Styela clava: one gene and its partners. The protein of the gene in region 2 purifies or fractionates together with the protein of the main gene of each other region. This does not show direct contact. Links are inferred from orthologs where the notes say so. Each region holds a gene or a part of one and is shown on either strand. Other genes may lie near its edges. The genes, in order: enhancer of mRNA-decapping protein 3-like, enhancer of mRNA-decapping protein 4-like and 5'-3' exoribonuclease 1-like.

Region 1 (8,233 bases), on a different chromosome or scaffold from region 2:
CGGGTACATTTGGGGGTAATTGCTATATAAACTCCACGGACCAGAACTAGGAAAGTTAAAAGATTTGACACATTCTAATAAACCGGAAATATATAAAAACAATATACATATATAACGATACAAATAATGATATAAGACAAAAAAATATTTACATATATATATAGAATCTACAATGAGACAAGACATGGAAATAAAGAGGAGGTTATAGAAAGGTAAAAGTTGTGTAAAGTAGAATTCAAAGAGAATGGTGTATTTTTACTTTGGATTTTTTGTTTTGGACGGTTAAAACATATTCTCAATTAAATGTACTTTGCTACGCTAAAAATACTTACACTCGCATTGTTACCATTTTGTGAAATAGTTGGTCTATCCATGTCGGGAAGAAAAAAAAAATTTTAAAGTTTATACCACCTGGGCTTTTTGAAAAAATACCGCTTTTGACACAATTTTTGACGAGCTTATTATTTCACTGTCCTATATGGCGGCATTGTAAATAATTAAAAGTATGACTCGCTCGAATCTACTTTTAGAAAGCATTTTAATACTAACGAAATCTATTTAATGGGAAGAGGAATGCTAACCACAAATTTTTAATAATATAAATCTTTTGAGGGGAATTTGAAATTCGAATATTCAAAGTATGTTACTCTCAATTAATTCTTAAGAATTGAAAGCCGAATTGAAACACCATATATATTTAGAAGAAGAAGAAGGACTTTACCTTAGTAACAGTTCATTGTTTTCATCAGTTCGTTTTTTGATCAGGTTTTCCACCTCGAATATATATATATATCATGTTCTATGAGAGTTCATTTCGATTGTTCGACAACACAGTCCATATTCATAATTTTAACGTTTCCATATTTTATTCGATTTAATTCATTGTTTCGTCATGATGTTTTGATTGTTCCGGCTTGTCAGCAATTTGATCCTTGAACGCTTTTGATGTGTATATATATGGTTTCTCATCAATCGTTGAGAGCTGCGGAAAGAAAACAGAGATATTAGATCAGCATGGGCCCCAATTTACGACTAATATGGTAGATGATGGAAAGGAAACTTATCTTTCGCTTGGTCAGCTTTTTGGTTGATTTCGTCAAATTGTTGCCTGTCCTGGTGTTGTCCGTACTTGTGGTTGAAACCGGTGATCCGGTCTGTTTCAGAAGGTTAATTCCAGTCGGTTTTGTCACCATTTATAGTGATTTGTTACCACTACACATAAATTGTTTGTTGACTGATCATCTTTGCGGATCATGACCCCAGTATTGACTGACAATAATTTTGTCTTGCGTTCGTTAACTCGAACTGTACATCTTTCGATAGCCTTCGGCCGTGGTAAATTGACGTTTGAAACACCCTATGAGTTTTATTCGTATATAGCAGTAATCTATGGATGATAGAAATAAATTCTGAGATACATATTGTTAAACTACTTCCGTAACAGACAATAAAATAGATGAATATGTAATCCCATATTTGATGTTAGTACGATGTTAGTTGGCATATATAGGTGGGTCAACAGCTACTAGACTACAGTCACTCTTAAGTAAGTTAGGCATTTTTGATACCAATTTTTCACAAAGTATGCAAACACCACATCATTTGATGGGATGCATGTCGCGCATATTTGTCTTAGGCCAGTAAGGTATTGAACATGTATCCCGTCTTAATTATTTTGTAGATACTGTTACAAATAAACACACATACATTTTACCTTGAATTCATGCTAAGAACAGGCCGAACTACTGTTAACGAGCAAAAAATTCCCCTCGTTTGTTTGCAAGCACTTCGGCGCGTTAAAGAACTTTAGTAAATACCAACGACTGGTGAATACCGATTCTCGGTAAAATGATAGAAGAAGGCACTTTACGAGACGTCTGTTTTGGCGCGCAAAAAAATCTCTCGAATATTAACGATACTTCGAGAATACCACTTTTGCCTTTTACGAGAAAGTGGGTGCTCTACTAACACGTTACGGTTAAACGATAAAGAAGTTGGGCGAATGGGGCCCCAGGTCGAGTATGGGATTAGTTAGCCAGTTTTTTTGTTTTCGGAAGCATGGACTTGATGGTGGAGGAAGCCGTAACGGACCATCGGTTACGTGAACCACCCTACGGCGGTGAGGAGTCCAGCAATCTTCTCGCACATTGTCATCCTGCATGGGATTCGAACCTGCGAACCCACGAATGGTAGTCAGGTGGGAGTTAGGAATACCATATGCAAATATGTTTGTGCCACATCAACTAAAAGGAGGACGGACTAAAAGTAGGCACTTGCAAATTAGGCACTTTTTTAGGCACTTATTAGACACTTTGGAAAAAAAATAAAAAGGGCGTAATACCTTTTAAAAACATAATTAATTAGTTAAAAATGGTCAAATGAAATGTTGAAAACGCAAATTGCAACGGGCAAACTCAATAACAATATTTAAAACGTAGTATTAAAGGCAGTCGCACGCGCTTGGTCACTACATATGCTAGGCACATATTTAGGCACTTCGAAAAATAAAGAAAATGGCAATTATCTCTAATAAAAGACAGAGACATAAACATATTACCCACACTGATTAGCCTGGGTAAATATCCAATAGATGCACTTGAGTCTAGTACTGGAATTTAGAAATAATAAATTGTTACCGGTAGGCACTTATTTAGGCACTTCGGAAAAAAGGTGAAATGGACGTAGTAGCTCCTAAAAAGGTAATGAATTAGTTCAAAATATTTAAATTAAATGTTGAACGCGAAAACTGCAACAGTTAAATCCAATAACGATTTTTAAAACGTAGTATTAAAGGGAGACGCACGCGCTCTGTCTCCACGTATGCTAGGCACATATTTGGGCACTTCGAAAAATAAAGAAAATGGCAATTATCATTAATAAAAGACAGAGAAATAAAAATATTACCCACACTGATTAGCCTGGGTAAATATCCAATAGATGCACTTGAGTCTTGTACCGGAATTTAGAAATAATAAATTGTTGCCGGTAGGCACTTTTTTAGGCACTTATTTAGGCACATCGAAAAAAAGGTGAAATGAGCGTAATAACTTTTAAAATGATAATTAATTAGTTGAAAATTGTCAAATTAAATATTGAACACGCAAATTGCAATGGGTGAACCGAATAACAATATTTAAAACGTAGTATTAAAAGGAGTCACACGCGCTCGGTCACCACATATGCTAGGCACATATTTAGGCACTTCGAAAAAAGAAGAAAATCGGAATTATCACCAATAGAAGATAGAGAATTCATTATTCTAGGAGTTACTACGGCCATTTCACCTTTTTTTCGAAGTGCCTAAATAAGTGCCTAAAAAGTGCCTACCGGTAACAATTTATTATTTCTAAATTCCAGTACTAGACTCAAGTGCATCTATTGGATATTTGCCCAGGCTAATCAGTGTGGGTAAAATTTTTATTACTCTGTCTTTTATTGGTGATAATTCTGATTTTCTTCTTTTTTCAAAGTGCCTAAATATGTGCCTAGCATATGTGATGACCGAGCGCGTGTGACTCCTTTTAATACTACGTTTTAAATATTGTTATTCGATTCGCCTATTGCAATTTGCGTGCTATACATTTAATTTGACAATTTATAACTAATTAATTATTATTTTAAAAGTTATTACGCCCATTTCACCTTTTTTTTCAATGTGCCTAAATAAGTGCCTAAAAAGTGCCTACCGGTAACAATTTATTATTTCTAAATTCCAGTACTAGACTCAAGTGCATCTATTGGATATTTACCCAGGCTAATCAGTGTGGGTAATATTTTTATTTTCCTGTCTTTTATTAGTGATAATTGCCATTTTCTTTATTCTTCGAAGTGCCTAAATATGTGCCTAGCATATGTGGTGACAGAGCGCGTGCGTCTCCCTTTAGTAATACGTTTTAAAAATCATTACAGTATTGGGTTTAACTGTTGCAATTTTCGCGTTCAACAATTAATTTAAATATTTTGAACTAATTCATTATCTTTCTAGGAGTTACTACGTCCATTTCACCTTTTTTTTCGATGTGCCTAAATAAGTGCCTAAAAAAGTGCCTACCGGTAACAATTTATTATTTCTAAATTCCAGTACTAGACTCAAGTGCATCTCTTAGATATTTACTCAGGCTAATCAGTGTGGGTAATATGTTTATTCACTGTCTTTTATTAGTGAATATGCCATTTTATTTATTTTTCGAACTGCATAAATATGTGCCTAGCATATGTGGTGACCAAGCGCGTGCGACTGCCTTTAATACTGCGTTTTAAATATTGCTATTGAGTTTGCCCGTTGCAATTTGCGTTTTCAACATTTAATTTGACCATTTTTAACTAATTAATTATGTTTTTAAAAGGTATTACGCCCTTTTTACTTTTTTTCCAAGGTGCCTAAATAAGTGCCTAATTTGCAAGTGCCTACTTTTAGTCCGTCCCAACTAAAAGTACGGTACTTACCGCTTTTAGTGAACCTGCGACGACTAAACTGGGGGCGGGTCTCATGTAGTTTCGTACCTAACGTACTTCTAGTAGGCGTAGCATAACAATTTCTTCACATCTCAATCCTAACCCCCACCTGACCCCACCATCCCAAAATTACGTCACTACGACGTCACAGTGACGTAATAGAGCCCTTCAAACTATGCGAACTGTCATCCAAGACGCGCAGACGAGAACCCGAAATCGAACAGCCATTTCTCTCGTTTTCTCCTCGCAACGATCCCGATAGGAGAGAGATCGCTGACGTTAGTCATTTCTTTATCGTCGGCGCCGATGCTATTTCGGGCGATCGTATGAGTATTTGGCAAGCTCTATGACGTGATTGTGACGTCGTAGTGACGTAATTATCGGATGGCGTAGTCAGGTGAGGGTTAGGATTGGCATGTCAAAAAATTGTTATGCTACACCTACTAGAAGTACGTTAGGTACGAAACTACACGAGACCCCTGGGGTCTGGTGTACGGTACGGTAACATTAGCGAAGTCAGACTGTACGGTGTAGGTCTCTGTGCGTTTATACTTTTGGACGGACAACTCACCAGCGACACCAGGCTTCTGCCTCTCACTCTCAGCCTTTCTGTAATCGAGTTGTCGTCTCTGGTGTTGCTTGTTTACTCAGTTGTCCGTCAGCCTCATACCGTAGATCAGTAGATTGAAAAATTGTTTCATTTTTTGAAAATATTGATGTACTGTATTTTATGATAACAACACAGACATAGTTATTCAATATCTGTATATGCATTTTTACGTTTTGGATTTTTTTCTTTTTCCTATAGCCTAATGCTTTACCGGTATATGATTATAATATTTGAATATACTTTAATTGATTGATTGAACTTGGGAATGTTATTTTTTCATTTACATGATCATTTGATGGATACATTGATTTTGTAGGCCCTATAGCCTAGTTCTCTTCCAGTGTTCAGAAACCGAAAGTCATGACATCTTACGTTGGTTCCAATGTTACAATAAACTGTGGGGATGTAATAGGTCATTGTCAGGGAATCGTGAAAGAAGTAGACCAAAAATCACAAACAATTACAATTTCCAATCCATATCGAAATGGTTTTAAATGCCCACATAATGAGATGACAATTCCGTCGTCTGATATCGTAGAAATCACCATCATTGATGGCCTTCTTTCAACATTGGAAACTAAGGATAAGAAATCCCCAAAAATTGGGTTATCAAGTGTAAAAAAAGAAAAAAGGCCTAAAAACAATGAAAGCCGACAAGTTGGTATTACAGATAGAATACCAATGCATTCTAGTTCACCACAACCTGGCTCGGAGTATAAAGGTGGGAAAAAGTATTCAAAAGTACGGAAGGGTTTATATAATCGGGATGACGATACGTTTGATAACAACCCGCAAGATATGACTGAAGATTTCGATTTTGTCAAGAATCTTGCTCTTTTTGATAAACTTGCTGTATACAATGAGATAAACTCTGGAAGTGATGGAGAAAGTATGAGAACTCCATCAAAACAGAGACATAGAAAGGTTGAAGAGAAATACAAGCATGACGAGTTCGTTCTACAAAAAGGGCCTGTAATATACCGACAAATAATAACAAATGAGGTGACCAAATACGAAGTTTCAGAATATTACACAGATGCAGGACTTGTAGTTCCCACTATTTCAAATGATACCTACATACAAATATTGCATGCTGCTGAACTTATGGGTTTCGGAATGGATAGACAAACTGAAATATTTGGAGCTAATGCAAGTCTCATGGCTCTATCTGTATTGGGTGGCTGTAATAGGCTTCATCCAAGAAATTCACATCAGCCCCCATCTGCAGTTGTAATGTGTGGGCCTCATAGAACAGGTGCTCAAGGTGTTGCAACAGCGAGGCATCTTTCAAATCATAATGTAAAAGTGAATGTGTTCATGCCCAATTTTGTTAAAATACATGCTTGCCTACAAGAAGAATTAAGACTATTGTCTCTAACAGATGCTGTTGTTATTAGCGAATATTCTGAATTACCTACAAATCCTGTTGATTTAATCATTTCTGCGATGGATGAAGAAGATTGTGAATTTTTATATCAGCAATCTTGGTATCAACATTCCGTTCGTTGGTGTAATGAAAATCGAGCTCCTTTAATGTGTCTCTCTCCACCAGCTGCATTACCTCCAGATTTGCATATAAAATGGTCTGTGTGTGCAGTACTGCCTTTTTCACTTTCAGCAAAATATGGTGCTTTATACATGATTGATGTAGGAATACCAGTGAGAGCATTTGAAAAACTAGGAATTCAGTATCAGTCGCCTTTCTGTGGTAAATCTTTCCTTCATTTACACAAAAGTAAATGAGAAATGTACAGTACTTGCTTTTTTAATCTTTTAAATGCATTTTGTACCGGTATAAATGTGAGTGTGACCTTGGTCATTCGTATATTAAAGGTTTACCATCTCTTGGAAAATGTGCTGGTTAAATAAACATATTTGTTTTTTTTTTGCTCCTTCATTCCATTTCTCAATTTTTATCTTCCTTTTATTAATCTCAATATTGGAGAAAAGGGTTGACAGATGATAATATGGCACCTTGTAAAGGTTTTTATGAATGTTTGATAACCAAGCAAGACTCCACCCAACTATATGTGTGTGGATGGAGAGTCCAAAAGATCACCACTAGTCCACACTGCAGCTAAATATAAATACGATGCCATCAGCATATTAAAAATATCCATCTCAAGAAATGACATTGCAATGTTTGGTACTTGACTACAGTGTATAAATAAACAGTTTGCTGAAGGGAATTTACTTATTTCTCCTTGAAATATACTTACAGAATACAGAAAAAATCTCATCTAGTAATTTTGTTATAAACTTGGTCATTGTTAACGCCTATATTGGGGATCATTTTTTTGCTTTAACAAACCATTTTTGCCATTTAATTTATTCATTCCACCCTTTTCTGTAGATTGATTGTATTTATAAAATGCTGTAGTAAATGAATGAAGAATTTCTACTACCGGTACTTGTTTTTTTGAACTGGTCAGTTTTAGCCAGTATTGGGTACTTACAATGTATCACCTAGTTCAATACTGATTTCTTTGACAAAATTCCATTTTCTACAGTTGTTTTTGTATGACAATGTTCATCTAATGCTATTTTCATTTTTCTGTAGATTTATTATGGGTTTTTTAAAGCTAATTTATAATGCTGAACTAGTTAGTACCTTGTAAATAGTCGATGTTCCATCACAATGAGGATTCACTTTAGACGTCCAGATTTTTCCGGAATAAAATTGAGATGGAGATATCTGAAACTATGTTACCTATCATTGACTTATAACACCTATTCATCTGCAACAGAAGTCCTTTTTGAGCCCATCATAACTCTAGTGGATTTTGTTTCAAGATGGTTTGGTTTCGCCTTTGTTACATTGGTGACAATACTGGTTGCATATGTTGTTGTGGTTTATTACTCAATTGCAGTACCATATCTCATCTTAGCATTTTCATCAATACGAGCTGGAATAACTATTTTCTACGGACATTATCTTCTAATCATGATTAGTTTTCATTATTTTAAAGCAGTCCGTACCAATCCAGGAAGACCACCCAAAGATGCTTCAGAGAGAGCAGTAACATCTGTATGCAAAAAATGCATTCTGCCAAAACCACCAAGAGCACATCACTGCAGTGTTTGCAAAAATTGTGTTTTAAAAATGGATCATCACTGTCCATGGATCAATAATTGTGTGGGTCATTATAACCATCGATATTTTATATC
Region 2 (8,631 bases):
CATCCGCTGTTAGATCAGAAACAGCCTTTTCAGCTTTAGAATTGCCATCTAAAGACAAAAGTCGCACCAAAATTCCTTGTTTTTTCACCGGTATCTCAGTCACCGCTTTCCACATGTCCAGTTTATTTACCCACTCCATGTAGGTCAAATCTTCACCAAACTTTGGTGGTTGAAGTTGTTTTGCAGTCATTTTCCTCTGCTACCAATGTTAATTCGACTATTATCATATAATACAACCTTATATTACACGATCAGAATAGATATATATTAGCTTGCACAGCACCCATGCTGCAATCATCCCAAGCCAGCAGCAGATACAAAATCAATGAAGCGTAAAACAATAACAATGAAAGAAGTTAACAGGCAGTGTTGCCAGAAATAGACAAAACGAAATAGTACAAATATTACAATATCAACACACTGCGCCAGTCTATATAGCTACTGTAATTCAATTTTGAAAGGAAAATACTAAAATATCAAGTTATTATTCTCTCTTACATCATCATGTCCCTTTATTGTCATAAATGTTGATGACAATTTTGATCTGTCAGTTTCATTTTCATCATCGTGAGCTATTTCAAATGCACAATTAATGTCCCATATTTCAACCTGAATAGAATTGAATATTAGTATACAAATATAATAAGATTAAAGGTTACTTACAAATGAGAATGAAAATCATCTATATTATGCATGATATTATTTTAGATTTGTTTTGATTTCGAAGTTTGCACAATTTTGTTTGTAACATTTAAAAATGCTAAAATCTAATTATAAACTTGGCCATATATCATTATATCACTAGTCAATATATTATAGAATTTTGAAAAAGCCATTCCAATAAAAAAAAATTTTATTTGTGATTTTGGGGTACTTTGGTGAATATTGCTTCAAACTATAGCACCTATTTCTTTGGAGATATTCAAAAAAAATTTGAAATTTCAATTTTTATTATTTTGCCTTAAAACCCTCAATATCATCAATATGAGCAAGAAATCAACACTAAACTCACAATATTTCCATGAGTGACAACAAGAAGTCTCCTCTGATTTAGTGGATCAGCCTCCGTGTCATCATCTAATTTCAATAATTCTTCTTCCGGATTAGTGCCATCTATTTCACAATGCATGTATGTTAACCATACTAATCTGTGATACGGGCTAGCACTCGGATCTGAAGACTTCACATGAAGTTTTTTCGTAGACCTAAATATTATTAGTAATAGAAATTATAACTATCAGTAGAGATTGCACAAGACTAACTCCCAATCCTTTCTCAATGCATTTGTACTAGTGTATGCATATAATGCAAGGATGCTGTGGCAAGAATAAAAATACCATGCTGAGTCCTGCTGCACACTAACACAAATTTATTTCTGTAATGTTTCGTCTGACCAAAATCAGACTTCCTCACACCTGAGGAAGTCTGATTTTGGTCAGGCGAAACGTTACAGAAATTGCTTGATATTCAAGCACTTATTGTTGACATACATAGTGCTGTCCCCATTTTGTGATAGTTGCCAAATTATAAAATTTCCTTCTTCATCAACTGCTGATATGAGAGAAGATGTCGGATGAGCAAAAGCAACATCGCACACTGGAGCAGTAAATCCACGTAGTAACAAACGATCCGATGTGTTTTTCCGACTAATGACACGAACTGCATATGATCGACCTAAACAATTTTCAAAATTTCAATATACGAATAAAATTCAAATTACATCAGAGTCTCACAAATTCATAAACATATAATGAAAACATACTTTTAATAGCATATGCTGTATAGTCGTTTGTTACGGATACCAATGTTCCAGGATAATATTTGTGTTCCCATTCAAACTTTGTGATTGGACTAATTCTGACCTGAAAAAAATCAATGATAATCAAAAAATATGATAAATAATATCACAGGGAGCAAGATTGCAGATAATAACTAAACTTCGCACCTTGTCACTTCCAGAGGTATCTGCTTCCATATCGGCATTTCCGCTTGTTATTATTGAGACTTGATCACCATATATGGAAACGCATTCACCATCTTTTACTTGGGACAGATCACTAAATGATATACAAATGAAATATATTTATATATGGATAAAATTGCGTATTCTCATGTCAGAACAGAATGGCAGTGATAGAATACTAAATTTGATATTTTTTTAGACACATGTATTGAAATTCAACTCGTTTGGAAACTGACTTGAAAAGCATACTACAATATTTAATATTCATACCTAATGGCGTACATTTTTTCAGAATATGATATTTACACATTAAAATTTCCAGTTATACAGAACTGCAAAAAGACTATCATATTATAAAACTATATAAAACATTAATATGCCATGCAAAATCAATTTTAAATGGTTTAATCAAATATACCAAAGTCAAAGCACTGAATCCAGCAATTAGGAATCAATACAATTAGGCAATATCAAAAGGAAGCTGCATTAAGTAGGTTTTCCTTGAAGTAGATAACGAGCCATATGTAGGATTTCGTATGAATGATTTAATAATGTTCCTGTAAATTTATCATGATGTGATTGAAACACAAGTGCCCTTATGTGGGTAGTGTGTGTACCAGGTTAGGGTTACACCATACTTTTAGTCCGATTTTGCTTATTTTAGTTCTATTAAGAGTTCGGGGACTGTCTGTGTTAGCCAAGTGAATATACCCCCTGCCCATAAGCTCTAGTCCCTCTACACAACTTGATGTAATCAGGCAAACAAAATTAGTTACCTCCATATTGGTACACACACTTCTGGAGTGCACTTATGTGGATATATCAAAATAGAAAATGAAACTGTATATACTACAATTGTCATTTAAATGGAATGACTATACATATATATATATAAAATAGAACTATATTTTCTCAGTCTTACTTACATTCTTTGAGAACCACCCACATCCAATGATCCGGAAGGTTCTTCTTCCACAGCATCCTGTAATAACAAATATCTGTGAGAATATTCAATCATTAAGTTGTTCAATTCTCAAAATCAAATCCCATATTACAGATATATAACATGAGCAATTTATTTGATTATAACATACTTAGATATGACTAAAATAAATTTTATTATTTTGAGTATTGCCACTTTACCTTCTTTGAATCGACTTCAGAATTTTCTGTTTTAGGTGAGGGTTCTGATTCTTGAATTTCAGAATCTGAAAACAGATATAGTTATGCTGCAGTTTTCTCAATTGCATTTTGTAAGAGGACTTGTGTTACACTTATAAAAAATTATATAGCCTATTTATGTGAAGCATGCCATGATATTAATGTAGCTTACATTGAAACTAGTGACACATACATTTTTTGAAATAAGGAAACCAGAGTTTAGCACAAAATTTTTTTTTAAAACTTTGAATTGCATCACTGGCTATATTTAATCTTATTAAATACTGACCTCCCGAATTTCCATTAATTTTCAACATTCCTTTCAGTTGGTTAGTGAGAACATCTGCAGATTCCTCCTCTTTTCCATTTGAAAGATCCATTAATTAATTTGTTATTATTTTGTTTGAACTGCTCAATTCAAGATTCAAATAATGTCAAGGAATAGATTTAATCAAGGCAATGTATGTAAGTAAGATGATGATCCAAATATATATTGATATATCAGCAGTTATTAAAAAGAAGCATTTTACTCGGCTTCGAAAAGTCACTGATTATTGCATTACAAAAATAGCAAACATGTTTTTCAACATGCACACATGGATGTATCACAATGTTAGCTATTTTGCAAGAATTAATAGTGAAATTCTCATATGTAATTGACTGAGTGTAATTTGTTTGAGAAATGAAGTTCAGTTTATATATTCAAGATAGCAGCTAAGTAATTAATTAGCTTACAAAATTCCCTGGAAAAAATTGAATATGTGACTGAACAAATGCAGAGATACCCATACCTACACAACTCTTCTCTGAGGAAAGTTAAAAGATTATTGAAACCTCTGCATGCGACCAATTTTAAACCATTACTCCATGATGGAGCAAAACAATGGTTTGTAAAGTATGAAATCAAGAGATAATTCGCCACATTAGTGGAATCAAATTAGCTTGCTCAAGTCACATTTTTGTGTCTGTCCATAATGACAGAAGACCAAAACAATTTATTTTTAAAAAAATGGCAATGTTATAAAATAATTCGTTTTTGATAAGTTTCGAATGATTATGTATCACTTCAGCACTTGGCAGTGAGTAGGCACTAAGGTAGACCCCAAACTTTCTTTCCAGGGCAATAGACTTTAATCAAAACTGATCTGTTTGAATTAAACATTTGCAGAGGAAGCGTCAGCAGCTTCAACAAAGCTTTCTTGAGGGACTGCAGCTATGGGGTAACATACCAAATGCTTTTTTAAAGTCAATGTGGAACATTATTATCTGTACATTATTTGTATTTACAGTTTAAATACATATAAGACACACACATTATATATGTGGTACTGACTCGATTATGATGAAATCCATCTTCCATCTGGAATTATTATTTTTTTCTGCTTTATACACATGAAGCAATGTCAACAACTTTTTTTTGCAATCCATGATACCAGTACAGCCGTACCCTATTTTCCATTCACAATTGAAAGACAAAACTGCACAGCTACACAAGATAATATTGGGGTCTAGTATAGTTTATTACCACAAGTACTTCCAGTGAGCGGGCCTTATAACGTCATTGTGACGACGTAGTGACGTAATTTTTGGATGTGGATGACATAGTCAGGTGGGGGTTAGGAATGACATACGCAAAAATTGTTGGGACAGGTCAACTAGAAGTAGGCTACAGAAGTACGTGAGGTACTAAATTATACCAGACCCATTAATTACTACAGTACTAGTGGTGTCACACATATTCTTGCTTATTTCGGCTATTTGGAGTAAACACACAGACACACTTCTACTGAACATCAGTACCAGTAATCCAGAATGTCAGAGTTCATAAGTAATTACAAAACATAGTTCTTTATTTGTATACATGTCTGCATGTACAAGTGCTACCAAACATTGATGTGATTTTTATATCAGTATACAGGTATATGGTTGGTTATTTATGTTTGAAAAAGAGATTGTAACTTCGGTTTCCCAGTAATAAAATCGGTTTCTTGCTGTCTTTCAGTCTTTGGAGTAGGCCTATGGCTGTATGGGTATGGCAATGGCCCTACTGCCCTATGCGCAGTACACATTACAGCATTATGAAAAAATAATTTAATTACATATCACAAATTACAGAATTACAAAAACAGATATCGGCTTGTTTTAGTTGACGGGTCCTGTCACCTAGTCAGCAATAACTTGTAGCTGAATTGTAGCAGCAAATATCTGAATATAGCAATGGAATGAGCCAATATCCGAATATTACGGTACACATTTAACCTAATTCCAAAATTCTGTAAATGAACACAATCGCACAAAGAAAATATAACACAAAATACGGGAATGACTTAGGAATGAATATTACAATATTAAACATATACCGGTACTTAATTAAACACAATCAAATAAAAGAAACTAAGAACTGAAGAAAGTACAACAAAAAATGCAGAACAAAACACGAGATAGACTACCCAAATGAGTATTGCGACCACCCTTTTCTTGAATCAGGCCTGCAGGCTAGATATGGAAATAAACGAAGTAACTCGGAACATATAAACAATGACACAAGCCTACCTGTATTTAGGTATTCAGGTAATCATATTGCAGTATTGACAGACGCAAAATTGACAAACGACTGAACGAACGAAAAATCCGTTGTCTGCGCCGGTTTTATGTTTAACCGAAGGCACGAGATTGACATCTTGTGGGTGCTCATGAAGAACAACACTACTTTCGTAACAACGTTAAGAACAGGCAGTTGTTCAGATTGTAGATGAATGCGAATATTACAGTATAATAAGATTTTCATATTTATCTCGCGAAGAAGAATATCGATAAGAAGACTCAAGCATATGGAAAACCACTGCCCCAAGTCCGGTTACCAGTTCATGTCGGGTGTAGGAATAGTTGACCAGTTATTAGTTTCAGATGCGTGTACTTGATGGTGCAGGAACCCGTAACCTATCAGTGGTTACCGGTACGCGAACCACGTTTTTTTTATTTATTGAATAGGATATACCTGTACATATTCATCCCGGGCGAGAGGAAACCCAGTAAAACAGCTGATATAAATTTGTTGTCGGTAGATTGGAAGTTTTTACGGCGTATAATTATAATGTGGGGATTGTACCGTTCGAATAGGTTTTCTAGAAGAAAATTTATATGAGAGCGATGTTAATAATCCAGGACAGGGTGGTCCAAACCCAGGCCCGCGGGTTCACAAGTGACCCACCTCTTCATTATCTGTGGCCCGCGTCGCAAGGAAAAACAAAAAATCACACTCATAAAAATAACCAGAAAAACTTTTAGCATATTGTTACATCACTAATGTTACTGAATTGACTAGTGTTATGGCTAGCTGAGGCAACTATCGAAGTTGTATAGTTTGCTCGGCTAGTGTATATTGTAGACTGGCTTCCTTTTTTGTCGGGAATGTATGCTAACAAAATAGGCTTCATAAAACACTAAAAATCAAACGAGGAACCTAATAGTCTTGGTTGGTTATGTCTGATAACTAGGTATTAATGTAATGGCCGAACAATATAATTCTAGCCGGGTGTTTTTTCGCAACCAACCTAAACAGTATTACAAAATTTGCTGCCCATATGTTTGCCCAGAAAATTTGCTAATTACCCTTCTGTATCTCAAATTTGGTAAAATTCGACAATCAATCAATCTGCAGTCATTAGTGAGTTATTTTGGAAACATCGGTTTGAAAAGAAAGATGACTAATTCAAACAAACAACTAAAACGTAAAACTTTCTTTGTCGTGAGTTTGAAATCTTACACTAAATGTAGATATAGTAAGATTTTTGCACGTTTTATTGAGTTTTTTGGTGGATTTTACATGTTCTAGTTTGATAAATGACAAATAATAAATATTGTGTTTGGACAATGAAAATGTTTGTTTTGTAGCCCATTGCACTGTTTACCTATTCTTGGCACTATTGTGGCCCGCGAACAATACAAAAAGAATAATGTGGCCCGCGAGGCCGACATCCTTGAACTACCCTGATCTAAGAAAATGGTCCAAACATGATTCGCTTCAATATTGGCAGACAAAAATCTTTAATCCGAATCCCATTCTTTAGGCCAAATATTTTAATTAAATTTAGCTTTGAGAATTATATCTCGCTTTATTCCTTGTCTTTATCATATTCGATATATTTCACATGTATTTTAGCATCATCCTGCCACGCAGATAACTTCATATTCATAAAAAATATGTATGCTTGTAATACGTGCGACAATCAGTGCACACATGACTGCTTCGAGTGCACAGAATGTGAGACATCCATTTGGCACCAAAACTTTGAATGGAGTGGACAATGATTACAATTCTGATTATAGAAATTGTGCATTCTATGGTGGTGAATACAATGCCAATCTCGCTTTACAGCGAATCGCGACATATGCTGCATCTCACGCGATGGCTGCAGCACAATCGCAATTTATATGGTAACAAGAGAGTATCTTAATTGAAACCTACAGAGTGTTTATTTTTGCCTCGAGGTTCCTGAAATCTTTGTTGGCGCCAAAAATGCCACATCCGTGCAAATATTACAACCTAATGAATTGAATTAATCAGTACAAGACGATGAGAATGGCCACTGGTGGAACTGGAACTGGTTTTACAGAGCTATCGCCTTGGGTATAGCCCAGTGGTTCTCAACCCGGGGCCGGGGGCTCCCCAATGGGGCCACAAAGCAGTTCAAGGGGGGCCACGACACATGGCTGATAATTGAAAAAAAAGCGACTTTGTTTGCATACTTTCCGTTGAAAATAAAATTCCCTGTTCAGCGTTCACCACTGTTTCATTGCCTGAATAGGTTATTTGAGATCGCGGGGTCCATTGTATTCATTTTCTTGTGCATGAATTGTTTGATCATAATGGAATTTGGAATCTACCAGTCAAAATAGTTCCCCGGTAGGCCGTCTAACCTGTAGTTTTACTAGACTGCGAGATAACCTTCGCTATTGTATTATAGACGCAAAAACCCACTTGTAAATTCCTAATCCCCAAAATACGAAATGAAACGAACCACTGGTATAGCCTATATAGGAAAGGAATTTCACATGAATATATATATAAGACTAGCTTTCACTCTAGAGCTGTTGTAGTATCCTGAATTGTATGATTCCTCTACAAAAAAGTTTGTTTTATGTAATGACCTAGCGGTAATTCTAATTAGGCTACATCGAATTATAATGATGTGCCGCGGGACGGTTGCAACATGGAAATTTTCATGAATTTATCTATTTCTACCCAGCCAGCACCGCAATGGAAAACCCTGTAACATCGGAAATGCCGATTGTAGCGCTTGGCCATATTCAGGGAATCTCATACAATAGAAAAGTCGTGGGAAGGGACGTGAGATCGACAAGGGCCCCTATGGCACGTATCATGTGGTCTCCCACCAATTATTTCAAGGGAAATTTACTCGTCAATCATTTCAATCTTTTTCAAGAAAAAATGTTGGAAATTGTAAATGTATCGATTTAATAACACCAAATGAAAACAACACACA
Region 3 (7,923 bases), on a different chromosome or scaffold from region 2:
GGCCTAAGGTTTGACCCTGATATCTTTTAACCTTCGATGTCCAATACAGTCAAACTAGTAATAAATCAGCTGATTAAAAAACCAAAATCATGATGAATAACAACACAAACAATGCATCAATATCAATCGATACTCCCATAACAATTGGTAAACAAAATATTATTGATAACAATATTAGCAATAGTATGAAAAATGTTTTCATCACCTGAGTAGTGAAAAATGAGGTTCATGTGAACACAACCCTAACATCATCAGATCAGCGTCAAGTCCATATAAACAATGTCTTGTATTTGGATCATAGTGAGATTGCATGCGTTCATGTCTTATGAATTCAGTGATCTTGTGTTCTCCTTCTCCTGGCGTCTGCAATGAAAGATACAAGTTAGAAATAATTATAGAAAGATATGTTTGGATGAGAATGCGCATCTACTACACCAGTATTTAAGTAAAAGTGCAAGTTGGGGGTTAAAAAACAGAGCCGAAATACACTTTGAAATACTGATGAAATGCGAAAATATTTCGTACACTCAATTAGGACACTCATCGCAAAAAATTATGAAATCTAGTCAAATAATGGAAGAACTAAAAACGAATATGTAAATGTCTATCTACATGACATCTAGTAACATTTTCAAACATAGATATTCACTCGTTTCCCTCTGAAAAATGCCCTGTGCAAGCATCCACCGATATCTAACGTTAGTGAGGAGCTATTATTTTTGGAAAGACCGAAAGCTTTCCCCGGATCAGATGGTGGTCATGGAATTTGAACCAGAGATGTGTATCGTGCCATGGCAACCCTTCACAATAAAGAGCACCCACAAAGATTATTCATAATTTAAATATGATAATTCTGATTTTCAACACACCTCATGACCAGACAGATAAATCCTGATTCCTTGCCATGCTGGGTCTGTAGTCACTTTGCTCTTCACCATATATTCAAGTTGCTCTTGAAGTTTAACCATAAATTTAGTACCAGGTGTAATGCAATTTGAATCAAATCTTTTGGCATCAGGTAGGACTTCACCCTTTTTCAATGCCTTTTGAATATTTTCTTCTGCTTCTTTGGCTGATCTGATTTGTCAAAGAGGTATAGCATTCAGTTTATAGAGAAACTTGTAGAGTTGATAAGTTGAATTTTCCCTAAACACACTATACCAGGGGTGGGCAACGTTTTTGGACCGGGGGGCAAAATATTTGCTCACCAACACTGACGAGCCACTTAAGTGTGACGTAAAAAGTTACATTTTATGAACAATATTTACAGTGTTACAAAAGCAAATGTGGAAAACAATAGGGCTTGTGCCAAAACTAAATGTAATCGAAATTTCACCAAATTTCTTGAGTTCATCTTTAGCTAAAACATCAAAATTTGGTTTTAGTTTGGTTGTGGCAGCATCAGGCAGGCAGGATTAAATTACCCAACGGATTTGGCCTGCGGGCTGTAGTTTGCCCATGTCAGCACTATACCAATAAAGAGTATGATTAGATAAAATCAGCTACTATTTAGCCCGCCCAGTGTTTCCCAGCCGAGAAAGAATTCATCTCCAGGGAGAAATTTTTGTTGTTTTCGGGAAGGAGATACAAAAATATTACTTTGTATTCGATGTAGTTTTACTAGTATTGTTCATTCATTCAATATCCTTGTAATCCATAATTATGAACAAACTATAAAGCCTATTCAAACTGTGCAACCTAGCCAGACTAGGCAAAAAGAGGAATGTATCGAAAAAAGTTGCGAACCACTGATATAGATAGATTCTTTGTGACCATGCTGACTACCAGACAGGAAGAGTTAGTGCCAGGGATGGCTAAAACCGAATATTTTACTATTTCGAATACATTCAGAGAAATGACTTCTGAATATGAAATATCGACTACATTCTAAATTGGGGAAAGTTTATGTCGGAAATTACATTGTTGATCACATCTAAAACGACACAAATATAAAAGGTCATTGTTTTCTCTGTGTGCTTTGAATGTAATCAAAAATATTCTATTTGTTTTGGACATGGCAGCACTGTAATACAACACAACTTCTGCTTGAACAAATGTTACACGGTTACATGGATTACTTGCAATAAAGAAAAAAACATTGTAAACATGAATAATTTGTGCAACCTAAATCTTCTGCCTCTTTGTTGGTTCATTTTTGCACGTGGAGCGACACCATCGACTGCCATGAAAAACACTTTTCTTGGACGAACAATACGAAATAAAACCTGTACATACATGAAATTTTGAAAGGATTTTTATTGAAATTTTAATACAAAAGCATTTTCTGTCAATCTCTATTTTTAAAGCTAGCCAATGTCAAGAAGTTTAAGGCACTGTCCATATGGCAGGCTTGCTGGTAAACACCATACTATAAAATATGTTTTGAATAAAGTCTATGTATGAAAATTTTGAATATTTCCGAATATGGTCAAGTTTAGAGAAAGAAATTTCGTCAAAATACAGAAAATTATATTGAGTTTTTATTTAAAACAACACACGGTTATAAAAAGTGGAGAGAACCCTTTTTTGGTCAACATATCCTACGTTAATTGCTCATTTTAGACGCTTTTTTAAGATTATACTATGTGCTATATATCAAATATAGTAGACATCGCAATCATACAGACTGAAATAAACAATGAACTTTGAAGTAAAGAATTTGCACAGCAAGTACCTCTATATAGTGAAATATATCTTTAAAGATTTGCTCTTCGGTAATTCGAAAATGAGGATCATCATCATTTGGATGTGAACAAACATGAATGATACCATTCATATCCAAATACAGATTGTCAAACTCTGGAACCTAAAATAATAAATTCAAATAGTGAATCAATATACATATTGGATAATCCAAACAAATAGATTCTATTGATTTAGATCAGGGGTGTGCAACCTGCGGACCACAAGGAAAACTTGTGCGGCTCGCAGAGAAGTTCCAATTTTGAATGATGTGCGGTCAGAGAAACGAGTTTTAATTTAGTTTAATCTGGTGAGTGCAAGTAATTCCAATCCCTTTGCGCTGCAACGCCCAGCATATGACGTTACAGTGCACTAACAGCTAGTTTGTAGTTCGCATGTCATGAGATCAGATAATCAAGAATTTTGTGCCTGCAACTACTAGAAAGCCTATGTCAAATACAGGTGCAGCCCGCAGTTTCACCAAGTTATTTGTATCTGGCCCTCCTGTATTAAAGGTTGCACACTCCTGATCTAGATAGACAACTAGCTAGCATTTTTCTAACCAAGGACACAGCGTGAATCCAAAAATCTATTTTTCAAAACGCTATTACAATATTATTTTGTGTCACTCTCTGATTCACAACAAGATAAACCATGATTTTGATATTAATACATCACAATATTATTGGACAACGGCAATATGCTATTCCTATAGCAGTTTGAAAATTTGAACATAGTATCATAATAAGTAACTTAATAGCAATAAACCTGATATTCTTTCACCACTTCACTGAGGCACGGATATCTTTCACTGATCCATCGATAAAACTTGGGAACACCCATGTTCTAGTTATCAAAGCCTAATATGATTACAAAATATAAAACCTAACGCTTCATGAATATCATGAAAATAAGTAAAAGTAGGTAAAAAAACACACAAAACCGGCATTTATTGAATGTTGAAATAACCATGACTAAAAGTTTAGCGTTTCAAGAAATTTAATATGACCTTCAAATTTTTGTCGACTATCAGTTACAAAACACAGATAACAATTGAATTGAGCCTCACCCATATCTCACATATCTCTGTGAACACAATAGCGCCTATGACAAAAATAACATCCAACACTGATCCATCGATAAAACTTGGAAACACCCATGTTCTCGTCATCAAAGCCTAGTTTGATTACAAAATGTAAAACCCAACGCTTCATGAATATCATGAAAAATAAGTGAAAGTAGTTAAAAAAACACACAAAACCGGCATTTATTGAATGTTGAAATAACCATGACTAAAAGTTCAGCGTTTCAAGAAATTTAATATGACCTTCAAATTTTTGTCGACTGTCAGTTACAAAACACAGATAACAATTGAATTGAGCCTCACCCATATCTCACATATCTCTGTGAACACAATAGTGCCTATGACAAAAATGATGTCCATGAACATAACACAGACTACAGTAAATGTTGATAATTGACATCAAGTGTGAAGTGTTAAAGCACTTCATAAAAGCTTTGTATATAGCTACTACGCCAAAAAGAAAAAATCATGAAAGGTAAGATTTCCAAACAACCACAAACTTGAAACCTTGATGAAATTAGACTTCTATATATTGACTATTATTAATATTTCAAATTATTTGATAATACCCAAAAGTGTAGCTTAGAAGGCCATCTTACTATTCTTGGAATTCCTGTATTGGGGTACAGATGTCTGTACAGTGTATAGATGGAGTTTGGATCTCCAAAGTATATGCGAGAAGCAATTACCGTAATAGTCCACTACATGAAAACTATCAATAATTCAATAATAGAAGTTAAGTTTAAAACTAAATATATCTCACAAATTGTTCCAACATAGAACGTATCAATTACTTTTGACAATATTTTGAATTCACTTCGAAAACGTTCAGTAGTTATTGTTTCTCTGTCATAATATGCAATATTAACTTTATCATATAACTGATAAAATATACTGTATTGTACATTTTTGTGGATAATATCCATTTACCGTATGTCATGTAAAATAGAAGTTTATCCACGAATTACATAGGGATTTTAGGACTTCAGTGAACTTTTTATTCTATTGGCAGTGTACTATGTAACTCTTATCATACAACAGTACAAGGCATATCACCAGATCTTCGTTCCATTTTACTTTGACAGTCTTGTGACAATGAGATACATTTTAATGATCCAAGTGCATTATTATCAAAGCTATATTATAGTTTGCTGTTAACAAAACCTGTATCATCGTGTTTCATTTGCACTTTGCATTAAACTACTATCTTGTCCATCAGATTTTTGAACAAAAGTATTTACAGCAGCTTCTGCGTCACCATCTAATCTTCTATCAGATCCAGTAAAACCACGATCTTGGAGCATTTGTAACTGCTTAACTTGAGCTAAAAGTTCTTGTTGAAATGCTTCAGCCATCTGTCTTTGCGCTGTGCTCACTTCTGCCGCTTCTTTACACAAGGTTGAATATTCTGCTTTGACTTCTTCTAATTTTTTCAAAAGAGATAATTTATTCTCGGCATCATCGTCATCATCATCTTCACAATTTAAATGTTTAGAAAACTCAGCATCAATTTTCTTTTCAATATTGTCCAATTTCTTCTCTGCCGATCCAACCATAGTTTCGAACTTGTTTAATGCTTCTTCCATGATTATCTATTTTCTAATTACTAAAAAAATATTTTGCTAACTAAACAAGTAAGGAATGATTAAATACATTCTCCAGATCTACTTGTATAATATATCTGGATATAAAGGCGGTACCACTATCAGACTATTGTAAGAGTGAATACTTGGAATATGCCAAAATACTAAAATATAGTGTACTGTTTATTTCATTATTTAACAATAATTTTGTGAAGCAAATAGAAATGGAAAAATATTTCTGCAAGCAAACAATATCAGAACAATGCCATGATTTATGAATAAAAGATTGGATTTAAAGTTAAATGGTGGACGATCTGTTACGGGTATATTGCGAGGTTTCGATCCTTTTATGAAACTGGTTGTTGATGATGGAAGGGAGCGCAGAAAAGATGGGACCACTGCACCTTTTGGAGTAGTGGTCGTTCGTGGAAATTTGATATTGACGTTGGATGCATTGGAACGGATACAATGATTTTAAATTGAACTAATCGAAAACGACAAAAGAACCCGATTCCCCAATCCATGACTTGTGCATAGACTGCTATGGAACATTCAATCTATTTACCAAGCTTGTTTTTTTAGGAACAATTTTTTGTCACTGTGTTGTTTTTGCAATGAAATTGACCTAGGCCTACAGCACCACCATTTTGCATCAGGAAGTGTTTTTTGTTCCATGTTTTTCGTAGGAAAAGCACTGTTGTGTTACACATACGGGCCATTCCAAGCAAAAGTTGAATTTCATCAAATTTTTCTAAAGTTTAGTGAAAGTAATTTTTTTGAATTTTTTTATATCAAAAAACATTAGAAATTCATGGACTGCATCCATTTCACCGAAAAAGTTGAAATTTCACCCAGGTTTTTGATAGTTTATAAAAATAATGGCCTGAAATGTAGAAATTCTGGTATAATTGACATATTTCGTGATGATTCCTGACACAAAGTGTTTGTGTGATACAGTTATTTCATATGAAATAGACGCACTGGATTTAAGTTAACAAAGTTTAAATGATTGCAGTGCTCTAGGGCTTTTTCTCACCCATTTAACGATTTATTACCAGGATTTTAAGAGATGATAGAGGCCGCTGTTCCAAAGTGGAAAAATGTCTTGTAATGTCACGTCCTGCAGTGTCACATACAAGATGAACATTATTGGCATAGATTTACAGTGTTACATTAAGTAACTTGAGCAACACATAGGGGGGTCCTTCAGCTACTGCACCAGAAAATATTATGGGCTCCTGCCGTGCCATCACAAAAATTTACAGCACAACACAATGTAACGTTAATCCATGGTGGATTTTCCGTCCTCTAGTGTCACGCTATATTTTACTGTATTTTTTAGTAAGTCTCGTGTGTAACTTTTGTGCAATTTTTTCCATATTCCAGTATTCAATGAAGCAATTGATTGGACAATGAAACAAAAACATGTAGCTGAAAATGTAAAAATATATTGCATCTAACAACGTGCAAAATTTCTGGGAATTGTCCTGTAGTGTCACTTGGCATGGCACCCATAGCCCATACACGTCGCACATTTCAATTTAAAAGGTAGAAGTTTATTACATTCAATTATTCACTTCAATTTGCTGTTTTTGTTAACTTGCTTTTAAAGTACTGCCCGATTGTAAATCACGTTTTTCTGTGGTTGTTCTATTCTTTTTTGCTGGGCGGGCATGTACATTGTACACTTTTTAACTTTTTTCAAGTTATGCCCGTCTCCAAAGTATCTCTGCATTTTGTTTGTCTGTTTACTTTTTGTATTGTTTATGTCAGAGAACCAAAATGATTGATTGATTTCACTGTTATAAAAGCTGACAAAGCTTATAGGAGTATAGTCTGACAGTGGAGTTGTTTGCAAAAATAAGGGTTCATTGAGAGCTAACAGATAATTTCTGAATTTCCTCAAAGTTTCATAACAGTTAATTAAGACATATGCAAAGTAACAGAAAAAAAGTAACTGATGAAGTGCTAACCTTTACGAATTACCACGTAAGTGCTTGTGAACATGCGCCTCCTAAATAATACAGTACAATGGGAAAAACACTAACAGTGTCACAATGTCTGAAGGTGGTAACTTCAAAAAAGTTCGCTGGGTTGAGTCAATCTCCTGATCTCATAAAAAAGGGATACATTTAGGGTTGCCAACTATGAAAAGTTTCAATAAAGGACATAAATTATCGTCATCATTTATTTTGTAACTTGCAGGAAAGTACAATATAAACAATGAAATAAGAATTATATACAAGCTAAAAAGATATATTGAAGCAATCTTCATGTGTTTTTCATTTAATGTGTATTTAACATTGGCCCAAACAATGTTAATAAAATTGTTATTTATTTGGCTATTTGAGCCGGACTAAAGCGAAATTAAAAAGAATAATTCAAAGCTTGCAAATACATAAACGGAGGCGATTTTTACTCCTCCGGGCAAAACGACGTTGGAAAGAATAAAGGACAATCAGCATCTTTTCTAAATGCTAAAAAGGACAAGGACCGAAAAGCTTAATTCAGTAATTAAAGGATTGTCCTTTGAAATAAAGGACGGTTGGCAACCCTAGATACATTCAGCACTAC

Evidence for each region.
Region 1: the proteins of enhancer of mRNA-decapping protein 4-like (region 2) and enhancer of mRNA-decapping protein 3-like purify together in Homo sapiens (affinity purification with mass spectrometry; 6 studies listed by BioGRID and IntAct, with this or other methods). This does not show direct contact. The link is inferred for Styela clava from reciprocal best matches to the Homo sapiens genes EDC4 and EDC3.
Region 3: the proteins of enhancer of mRNA-decapping protein 4-like (region 2) and 5'-3' exoribonuclease 1-like purify together in Homo sapiens (co-immunoprecipitation; 4 studies listed by BioGRID and IntAct, with this or other methods). This does not show direct contact. The link is inferred for Styela clava from reciprocal best matches to the Homo sapiens genes EDC4 and XRN1.

Annotation. Positions count from the first base shown.
Region 1 is NC_135253.1:11,259,544-11,267,776, forward strand, and holds enhancer of mRNA-decapping protein 3-like, read left to right. Parts: upstream 1-4,985; 5' UTR 4,986-5,425; coding exon 5,426-6,808; 3' UTR 6,809-7,626; downstream 7,627-8,233. Other genes in the region: palmitoyltransferase ZDHHC16-like, read left to right, coding at 7,704-8,233. UniProt on the Homo sapiens protein: Binds single-stranded RNA. Involved in the process of mRNA degradation and in the positive regulation of mRNA decapping. May play a role in spermiogenesis and oogenesis.
Region 2 is NC_135262.1:19,089,136-19,097,766, forward strand, and holds the start of enhancer of mRNA-decapping protein 4-like, read right to left. Parts: upstream 3,565-8,631; 5' UTR 3,505-3,564; coding exon 3,414-3,504; intron 3,172-3,413; coding exon 3,107-3,171; intron 2,946-3,106; coding exon 2,890-2,945; intron 2,058-2,889; coding exon 1,946-2,057; intron 1,863-1,945; coding exon 1,763-1,862; intron 1,675-1,762; coding exon 1,491-1,674; intron 1,206-1,490; coding exon 1,013-1,205; intron 610-1,012; coding exon 499-609; intron 1-498. UniProt on the Homo sapiens protein: In the process of mRNA degradation, seems to play a role in mRNA decapping. Component of a complex containing DCP2 and DCP1A which functions in decapping of ARE-containing mRNAs. Promotes complex formation between DCP1A and DCP2.
Region 3 is NC_135252.1:5,381,701-5,389,623, reverse strand, and holds the start of 5'-3' exoribonuclease 1-like, read right to left. Parts: upstream 3,746-7,923; 5' UTR 3,526-3,745; coding exon 3,451-3,525; intron 2,807-3,450; coding exon 2,675-2,806; intron 2,226-2,674; coding exon 2,125-2,225; intron 1,078-2,124; coding exon 870-1,077; intron 364-869; coding exon 206-363; intron 1-205. Other genes in the region: uncharacterized protein LOC144420883, read right to left, coding at 4,936-5,352. UniProt on the Homo sapiens protein: Major 5'-3' exoribonuclease involved in mRNA decay. Required for the 5'-3'-processing of the G4 tetraplex-containing DNA and RNA substrates. The kinetic of hydrolysis is faster for G4 RNA tetraplex than for G4 DNA tetraplex and monomeric RNA tetraplex.